Linked DNA regions of Caenorhabditis elegans. The protein of the gene in region 1 interacts with the protein of each later gene in a pairwise test. Each region holds a gene or a part of one and is shown on either strand. Other genes may lie near its edges.

Evidence for each region.
Region 2: the proteins of gpd-3 (region 1) and lin-2 interact in a two-hybrid assay, tested with the Caenorhabditis elegans proteins (3 studies listed by BioGRID).

The regions. Positions count from the first base shown.
Region 1 is NC_003284.9:3,111,273-3,115,072, reverse strand, and holds gpd-3 (Glyceraldehyde-3-phosphate dehydrogenase 3), read left to right. Parts: upstream 1-1,731; 5' UTR 1,732-1,751; coding exon 1,752-1,991; intron 1,992-2,040; coding exon 2,041-2,169; intron 2,170-2,216; coding exon 2,217-2,873; 3' UTR 2,874-2,982; downstream 2,983-3,800. Other genes in the region: mai-1 (ATPase inhibitor mai-1, mitochondrial), read left to right, coding at 20-76; gpd-2 (Glyceraldehyde-3-phosphate dehydrogenase 2), read left to right, coding at 386-625, 675-803, 850-1,506.
Region 2 is NC_003284.9:12,410,947-12,415,914, reverse strand, and holds the start of lin-2 (Protein lin-2), read left to right. Parts: upstream 1-1,873; 5' UTR 1,874-1,889; coding exon 1,890-1,963; intron 1,964-2,014; coding exon 2,015-2,127; intron 2,128-2,929; coding exon 2,930-3,113; intron 3,114-4,402; coding exon 4,403-4,498; intron 4,499-4,545; coding exon 4,546-4,628; intron 4,629-4,676; coding exon 4,677-4,852; intron 4,853-4,968. UniProt on the Caenorhabditis elegans protein: May play a structural role in the induction of the vulva. May be required for the localization of signal transduction molecules (such as let-23 receptor) to either the basal membrane domain or the cell junctions.

The DNA.
Region 1 (3,800 bases):
TTCAATACTTTCATTTCAGGTTCTCGAACAACATCAGCAACGACTGAAGGAAATCGAGAAAGGACACGGAACATAAAAAATAGAGGGCTTTTCAAACGGCTCTCTGTTCTTTTTGCATCATCATTTTCAATTTTCCCTTTCTTTTTATGCATACTTATTCTCTCCTCTCTATTTTCTCTCTCACACCGCATTTCTTCATCTTGCCTATTGCATCATTTTTTTTTCGCTTACTGCACATGTTTCGTCAAATAGTAAACATGGTTTTTATGGCTTCACTTCATATTCTTCTCTCTTCAATTTGATTCGATTTTCATTTCGATCATTCTATTTTTATTTGTCGTTTGTATGTTAGTTGAACTGATTGTAGTAGTATCAATTTTCAGCCATGCCAAAGCCAAGTGTCGGAATCAACGGATTCGGAAGAATCGGACGTCTTGTCCTCCGCGCCGCTGTCGAGAAGGACAGTGTCAACGTTGTTGCCGTCAACGATCCATTCATCTCCATCGACTACATGGTCTACTTGTTCCAGTACGACTCCACCCACGGACGCTTCAAGGGAACCGTTGCTCACGAGGGAGACTACCTTCTTGTCGCCAAGGAAGGGAAGTCGCAGCACAAGATCAAGGTAGAATATTTTCCAAACATATTTTGTTAAACATTCTCTTAAATTTCAGGTCTACAACTCAAGAGACCCAGCTGAAATCCAATGGGGAGCCTCTGGAGCCGACTATGTCGTTGAGTCCACCGGAGTCTTCACCACCATCGAGAAGGCCAACGCTCACTTGAAGGGAGGAGCCAAGAAGGTAACTTGTAATCAACTTTTGTGCATAAATATATTTAAATTTTTAGGTCATCATCTCTGCTCCATCTGCTGATGCTCCAATGTTCGTCGTCGGAGTCAACCACGAGAAGTACGATCATGCCAACGACCACATCATCTCCAATGCTTCCTGCACCACTAACTGCCTTGCTCCACTTGCCAAGGTCATCAATGACAACTTCGGAATTATTGAGGGACTTATGACCACTGTCCACGCCGTCACCGCCACCCAAAAGACTGTTGACGGACCATCAGGAAAGCTCTGGAGAGACGGACGTGGAGCTGGACAGAACATCATCCCAGCCTCTACTGGAGCCGCTAAGGCTGTTGGAAAGGTTATCCCAGAGCTCAATGGAAAGCTCACCGGAATGGCTTTCCGTGTCCCAACCCCAGATGTGTCTGTTGTTGATCTCACTGCTCGTCTTGAGAAGCCAGCTTCCCTCGATGACATCAAGAAAGTTATCAAGGCTGCCGCTGACGGACCAATGAAGGGAATTCTCGCTTACACTGAGGATCAAGTTGTCTCCACCGACTTTGTCTCCGATACCAACTCTTCCATCTTCGATGCCGGAGCATCCATCTCACTCAACCCACACTTCGTCAAGCTCGTCTCGTGGTACGATAACGAGTTCGGATACTCCAACAGAGTTGTTGATCTCATCTCGTACATCGCCACCAAGGCCTAAGCTGTCTCATCCTACTTTCACCTAGTTAACTGCTTGTCTTAAAATCTATGCTTCTCTTTAGTATCTAAAATTTTCCTAGAAGCTTACAAGTATATAAATGGTCTCTTCTCAATAAAGGTTGTATATTTATTCATCTTATTGAATCTGCCATTTCCTCGTTTTTGCGAGTTTATATACCTTCCAATTTTCTTTCTATTGTATTTTCAACTTCTAATTTTAATTCAGGGAAACTGCTTCAACGCATCATGACCAAGCCAAGTGTCGGAATCAACGGATTCGGAAGAATCGGACGTCTTGTCCTCCGCGCCGCTGTCGAGAAGGACAGTGTCAATGTTGTTGCCGTCAACGATCCATTCATCTCCATCGACTACATGGTCTACTTGTTCCAGTACGATTCCACTCACGGACGCTTCAAGGGAACCGTTGCCCACGAGGGAGACTACCTTCTTGTCGCCAAGGAAGGAAAGTCCCAGCACAAGATCAAGGTAGAATTATTTCCAATTAGATTTCACCTAATATTCTATTCAATTTCAGGTCTACAACTCAAGAGACCCAGCTGAGATCCAATGGGGAGCCTCTGGAGCCGACTATGTCGTTGAGTCCACCGGAGTCTTCACCACCATCGAGAAGGCCAATGCTCACTTGAAGGGAGGAGCCAAGAAGGTAAATTAGTGATTTAATTTTTCAAGATAAATATATTTAAATTTCAGGTCATCATCTCTGCTCCATCTGCTGATGCTCCAATGTTCGTCGTCGGAGTCAACCACGAGAAGTACGATCATGCCAACGACCACATCATCTCCAATGCTTCCTGCACCACTAACTGCCTTGCTCCACTTGCCAAGGTCATCAATGACAACTTCGGAATTATTGAGGGACTTATGACCACTGTCCACGCCGTCACCGCCACCCAAAAGACTGTTGACGGACCATCAGGAAAGCTCTGGAGAGACGGACGTGGAGCTGGACAAAACATCATCCCAGCCTCTACTGGAGCCGCTAAGGCTGTCGGCAAGGTTATCCCAGAGCTCAATGGAAAGCTCACCGGAATGGCTTTCCGTGTCCCAACCCCAGATGTCTCTGTTGTTGATCTCACTGCTCGTCTTGAGAAGCCAGCTTCCCTCGATGACATTAAGAAGGTTATCAAGGCTGCCGCTGACGGACCAATGAAGGGAATTCTCGCTTACACCGAGGATCAAGTTGTCTCCACTGACTTTGTCTCCGATACCAACTCTTCCATCTTCGATGCCGGAGCATCCATCTCACTCAACCCACACTTTGTCAAGCTCGTCTCATGGTACGATAACGAGTTCGGATACTCCAACAGAGTCGTCGACCTTATCTCCTACATTGCTACCAAGGCCTAAGCCGCTTCAAATTCTCTAAGTCTGAAATGAATCTGTAACATAATAAATTCCACATTATTGTAACTTTGATTCTCATTTTCTTTATAAGAATAAATCTTTTAGCTGGAGTAACTAAAACTGTGTTGTTGGATAGAAAGCATTTTTCAATGGCTATATCAAATTTGAAACGTTGAATTCGAACCTTTCACGAGGTTTACACTCATTTATATTCTTCGTTGTGATTGTCCGTCATACAAACCCGATTAAGTTTCCGTCTAGCCTCTATGTTTACATTAAATTGAGAAGCGATGAGAAGTGTCCAGTGTAGAGTGCAATGTGCACTCAAAATGTCGGCACATTGTCACTTTGCTAACATTTTTCCCAGAGTCATTTGGGATACTTGTGTAGTCCCAAAAAATATTAACTATTAAGCTTAGGATTAGTGCTTTTCTAAGCCTGAATAGAAAACTTATTGGAAACAATTTTTGGTCACTTATGTAGTAGATGTATCACAATATATTTTCATAGGATAACTTTTTGTAATGGTAAACTCGTGAGAAATAATTATTTGTAGACCTAAAAATTCCAGATTTAATTTTAAAAATTTAATAATATTTTGGGGTACTTCTACTTTTCATCTACCTTTCCATATTTGATATTTCATTCGCAATTATACAATCTCAGAAAATTCCTATGGTCACGTTATTCTTTGTCGTAGACAGTTGAAAGATGAAGGAAAAAACGAGAATAGATATCACAAAGTCACGTGGCAAAATCCATCAACCTGTTGTTAGTGACGTTATTTTTTGCCTCAAAATGCGGGAAACGATGTACGCATGACTCTGACGAAGTCTGCCTGCTTCTACGGGTACACTTGAAATGAAGCATAGAAAGCTGGCTGCGTTTTTTTCTTGTTTCGCTTCACGCCGTTTTTCTTTTTCTCTTTAT
Region 2 (4,968 bases), 9.3 Mb from region 1:
AAAAAACTTCATATTTTCTTTTTTTTCATATTTATTCGTTTTTTCTTTCTGCTTTGAGATTTTGTCATATCTTACAAATCCAAGAAAAAAAAAAGAAAAATGTAATATCTTTCCTTCATCCCTTCCTTTTTATGTAGTTATTTATGTCTTCTTCTTTAATTAAATTTGTTTTTTCTTCTTATTTCCCATTATTTTGCTAACACCTTATTTGTTGAATATTCGATGGAGAGACTAATAATTGAACATTTTTGCATCCCAATTTTTCACAAAGCTAATATTTCGCGGTTTTTGATAGTTGTTTAAGACTGGGATGTATAGTTGGTGTTTCAATTTTGTCTACTCAGTTTTTTTTTCAATTTAAAATTGTTTTTGAAACAAAAACGTAAAAACCATTACATAAAAGTTTATAAGTAATTTAAAAGTTCCATTAAAAACAAAAAATAACCATGGTATAATCAGAGTATACATATATTGGGCATTTCAGAAGCAATAACTTCCAAATAACTTCAATGTGAACTGGAATATATGTAGTGACAAAATGCGAAATACTTAAATTGTGTAAGAGTTTAGTGTATACAGATTAAAATAAACTGACAAACTAAAAAAAAATTATAAAAGTATATATATATATGTCAAAAATTTGAGACTAGTAGTAACCTTAACAGTAAACATATTTTCAGCATGTTTTTGGTATAGCTCTGCACAAAATGGTAGTTTTATGAAATTATTGTGCTCAATGTTATTTCCTTGAAATAAATCTCGATTATTTTTTGAATAGTTACACTTTTTGGTTGAAGTTATTGCACCAAATGGAAATGAATTTTTCAAAAAGTTTTAAGTAGACGTATGAAACGGAAATAAAAAGAGTATGCAGAAAAAGATGCAAACCGAAATTGTTTGAAAAAAAAAACTTTAAAAAATGGCTTTGTTAGCCTTAAAGGAGTTATTGTTTTGAGCATTAGAATTAGATCCCAAGTCATTTGAGAACGTAGGAAAATCAAAATGTAGGTTTCTCTATGTAATTGATCGTAGTAAAACCCATGCACGTAATTGCTTCTATTACATTACATTACGATTTTCATATCAAATAATTTTTTTTCAGCATCTCTCAAACTTAAAGTTTAGTGTTTTGAAAAGATTTCAAATCTGTTTACTGTTTTTGTTACAAATACATCTGGCTAACCCGCCAACTTTGAATAAACACGATACTATTCCGGCAAATTCAGGAATGTTTGCTAAATGACAAATACAGCCGCGTTTCAATAGGAAACTAGAGGTGGAAAAGATGAAAAGTGTCCATATTTGTCTTGATTTCCTCTGCCATGCCGCAATCAAACTTTCTTTCACATAGTTGTTCTGCTTCAATAATTTAAGATTGGATGGTTTGATTTTGCATTTTGCAGAAAATATTATGTTATAAACAAGAAAAAATCCTAAGTTTAACGATTTCCGTCCCCCACGCACTCAAGTTCATTAAAATTAATGACGTAATGCTTACCTCTTTTTATAAGACCGCAACATGAGATTTTCCATCAGACAAGTACCACCTCAAATCCTCAATTTTTTAGTTCTCGAAAGAATGTTGCGGGGTTGATAAAACATGAATCTCTCTTGCAATCATTTATTGACATTATATCTCCTCCTAACGATCAAATCAAATTGGCCGAAAGAAAACGCGTAGAGCCCCCCCCCCCCCCCCCGCCGCCGACCCAAAAAACTGCCATTTTCTCTCCAGTCTCTCTATTTCAATATTCATGCGAGCCTGATATGCTTTTTCAATTTAATAATCATTCACTGTCCCTATGAGTTTTTTTCTGGTTATCTCTTTTTTTTCTTCAACTTTATCATTTGTTTATTCACGTTTATCAGCATTTTTCAGCTAAAACAGAATGAGGGAGCTTGACCCGGACGAGTCGAACCTTCTCCTCGATGAACAACTGTCGATCCGGGATGTGATAGAACAGTAAGATTTTTGAAAATTCAGTTAATTCTTGAAATAACTAAGAATTTCCAGAGGTCCATTTTCAAATGTATACCGAATACTTCATGGACCATCAAATCGAAAATTTTTACTGAGATCAATCAATTTGAATTTGTTCAGACAGCACACCGGGTTAGGATTTGAAGGTACAATTATTGTTATACAGTTGTTACATGGGGTACGACTACATGTAGTAGTCGTATTCCAAAAAAATTCTACGCACCTACTAAAATGATTTGTTCAATTCAAAAGTTGAAGCAGTGTACTTTTGTAGTAGCTGTAGTTGCTCTACTATACAAGTATCAAAAATAGTTTTCTCCCATTTTGATAAAGTCTTTTTTTAATTTTGGTTTTTTGTCTTTACAAAAATTGATAGGTTTTTGTAATGTTAATCGATCTAGTGATGAACTAATATCTTTCGAAAGGAGGCTCAAATGCAGTTAAAAAAAAGTTAATTAGAATAAAAATATCCAATTTCATTGGTTTTCATCCAAATACCATTGAGACCGTTAAAGAAAAGTTTCAACATTTTAAAAACAGGAAGTCATCGTTTCAACACACTGTCTCACAAAAGACTGAATTATTAGTTTTTGATGTTTTTTTTCGAATTGAACAAATTCAGGTGGTTAATACACTTTTTTTTTAAAGTTATGTTTTGACCTTTATTGTGGATTTTGAAGAATAAAAAATTTCTCAAAAAACAACCTGAGTGCACTTTTAAAAATTGAGAAAAAAAAAGTCCCCGCAGCGGATATTATTATTCTCGCCACCAGTTTTCCAATCAGAAGCGCACAAAATGTCCTCAAAGTTCTCATCTCATGAGCTCAGCAGCTCCAATCCCAATTCATCAATCAATCTATCAGCCATCATGTGTCATTTCGAACTTTGATCATTTTACCGAATCCGATCTAAATATAATTATTTCATTCCAAACCATCTCTTTTTCAGAAATCGACGAGGAAATTAGAATATGCCAAAATCTACAGCACCCTTACATATGCCGACTGGAAAAAACTATCAACAGCGTTCATTATCGACATATCATTTTTGAGAACATGGAGGGAAATGATATTTGTTTTGAAATAGTTCAAAGAGCAAGTAATGGATTCGTATTTTCTGAATATGTAGTAAGGTTTGTATTTTTACAATATAGACTGTGTGTCACGGCGTGTAAATTGGGACATCTGGCCTAGCGAAAAGTGAAAAGTGAGAATCCTAGGCCATGGCCGCTGCAAAGCGCGCGAAATTTGAATTTAAATTTTTAATATCATTGAAATTCGATGAATGAGACATTATAATGGATAAAACTGCAAAAATATATACAAAATTGTTTTTAAAATGGATAAATCACATATAACAACGATTATTTTCCTAAATAAAAGTGGAAATTCGATTTATTAGGCAATTATTAGGAAAATTCGACAAAAATGGCACATTTTTGAACTTTTTTCAAAAACTAGATCCACAAATTTTCTGAAATTTCACCAGATTACTCAGTAGACTACTTTAATCAAATTGTGTGCAAAAAATTCATACCCACCGTCACAAGTTCCTATTGAATTTTTCTATTTTAGCTCCGAAAACCACTAAAATTCGACAAAAATGGCACATTTTTGAACTTTTTTCAAAAACTAGATCCACAAATTTTCTGAAATTTCACCAGATTACTCAGTAGACTACTTTAATCAAATTGTGTGCAAAAAATTCATACCCACCGTCACAAGTTCCTATTGAATTTTTCTATTTTAGCTCCGAAAACCACTAAAATTCGACAAAAATGGCACATTTTTGAACTTTTTTCAAAAACTATGCCCACAAAGTTTTTGAAACTTCACCAGTTTACTCGGTAGAGCATTTCAAACAAATTATGTGCATAAAAACCATACCCACCGTCACAAGTTCACATTGAATTTTTCAATTTTAGCTCGGAAATTCACAAAAAATCAGTGAAATTGGCACCAATTTGAAATTTTTTCAAAAACTAGATTCACAAAGGTTTTGAAACTTCACCAATTGACTAAATGAAGGTTTTTGAACAATTTAAGTACATAAAATGTATACCCACCATCACAAGTTTACACTTAAAATTGCTGTTCATTAATGCAGTTCTTCAAACTGCCTTGTTTCGTTTTCTGCGTAGTTCACTTTTTTTTGTATTTGAATTTAATGTAATTTTAGTGTTTCTTTTATTCTTTTCCAAAAAGATAATGCATTTTTTGCTTGAATTCAAGGATATTTTCATATAAAACGAAACCGGGAAGTATTAATTGCTAAAATTTATGTGGACTACGGTAGTCAAGTCCGCAAACACCACGCGCATTTTCATAATTGCGTACATTTGTTTTTCAAGCTTTTTTCTAGGCCAGAGGTACCAATTTACACGCCGTGTGTGTGTAAAAATAATTAGCATAAATTTTTCAGTCACTATACACGGCAGCTCCTAGATGCTCTAGATTACTGTCACACTAGGAAAATTGTTCATAGAGATGTACGGCCTCACAATTTAGTATTAGCGTCGTAAGTTAATTAATATAGAAAAACAACAGTTCAATGTGAACTTTCAGAAAAGATACTTCAGCTCCACTGAAACTGTGTGGATTTGGAGTTGCAAAAGATTTGTCTGAAATTGGTGGTTCAATGGCTTGTGGTATGACTCGTTTTTCAAATGTGCATTCATATAATTTCGAATTTGAAGGTCGAGTAGGTGTACCGCAATTCATGGCTCCAGAGATAGTGCGAAAAGATCGAGTGTCATGCTCGTCGGATATCTGGTCTTCCGGTGTCGTCCTTTTTCTCTTGCTAGCTGGACGATTACCTTTCTCCGGGTCTACTTCCGATATCTATGAAAGGATCATGCAAACAGATGTAGATGTGAGGTTTTTTCGAATAATTTTTCTGGTTGCGCAAGAGAATCGGTTAAAAGCAAAAAAATCGATACAACATAGTTTTTTACATACCAATTAACATTTTTATGGGCCTAGAAAACC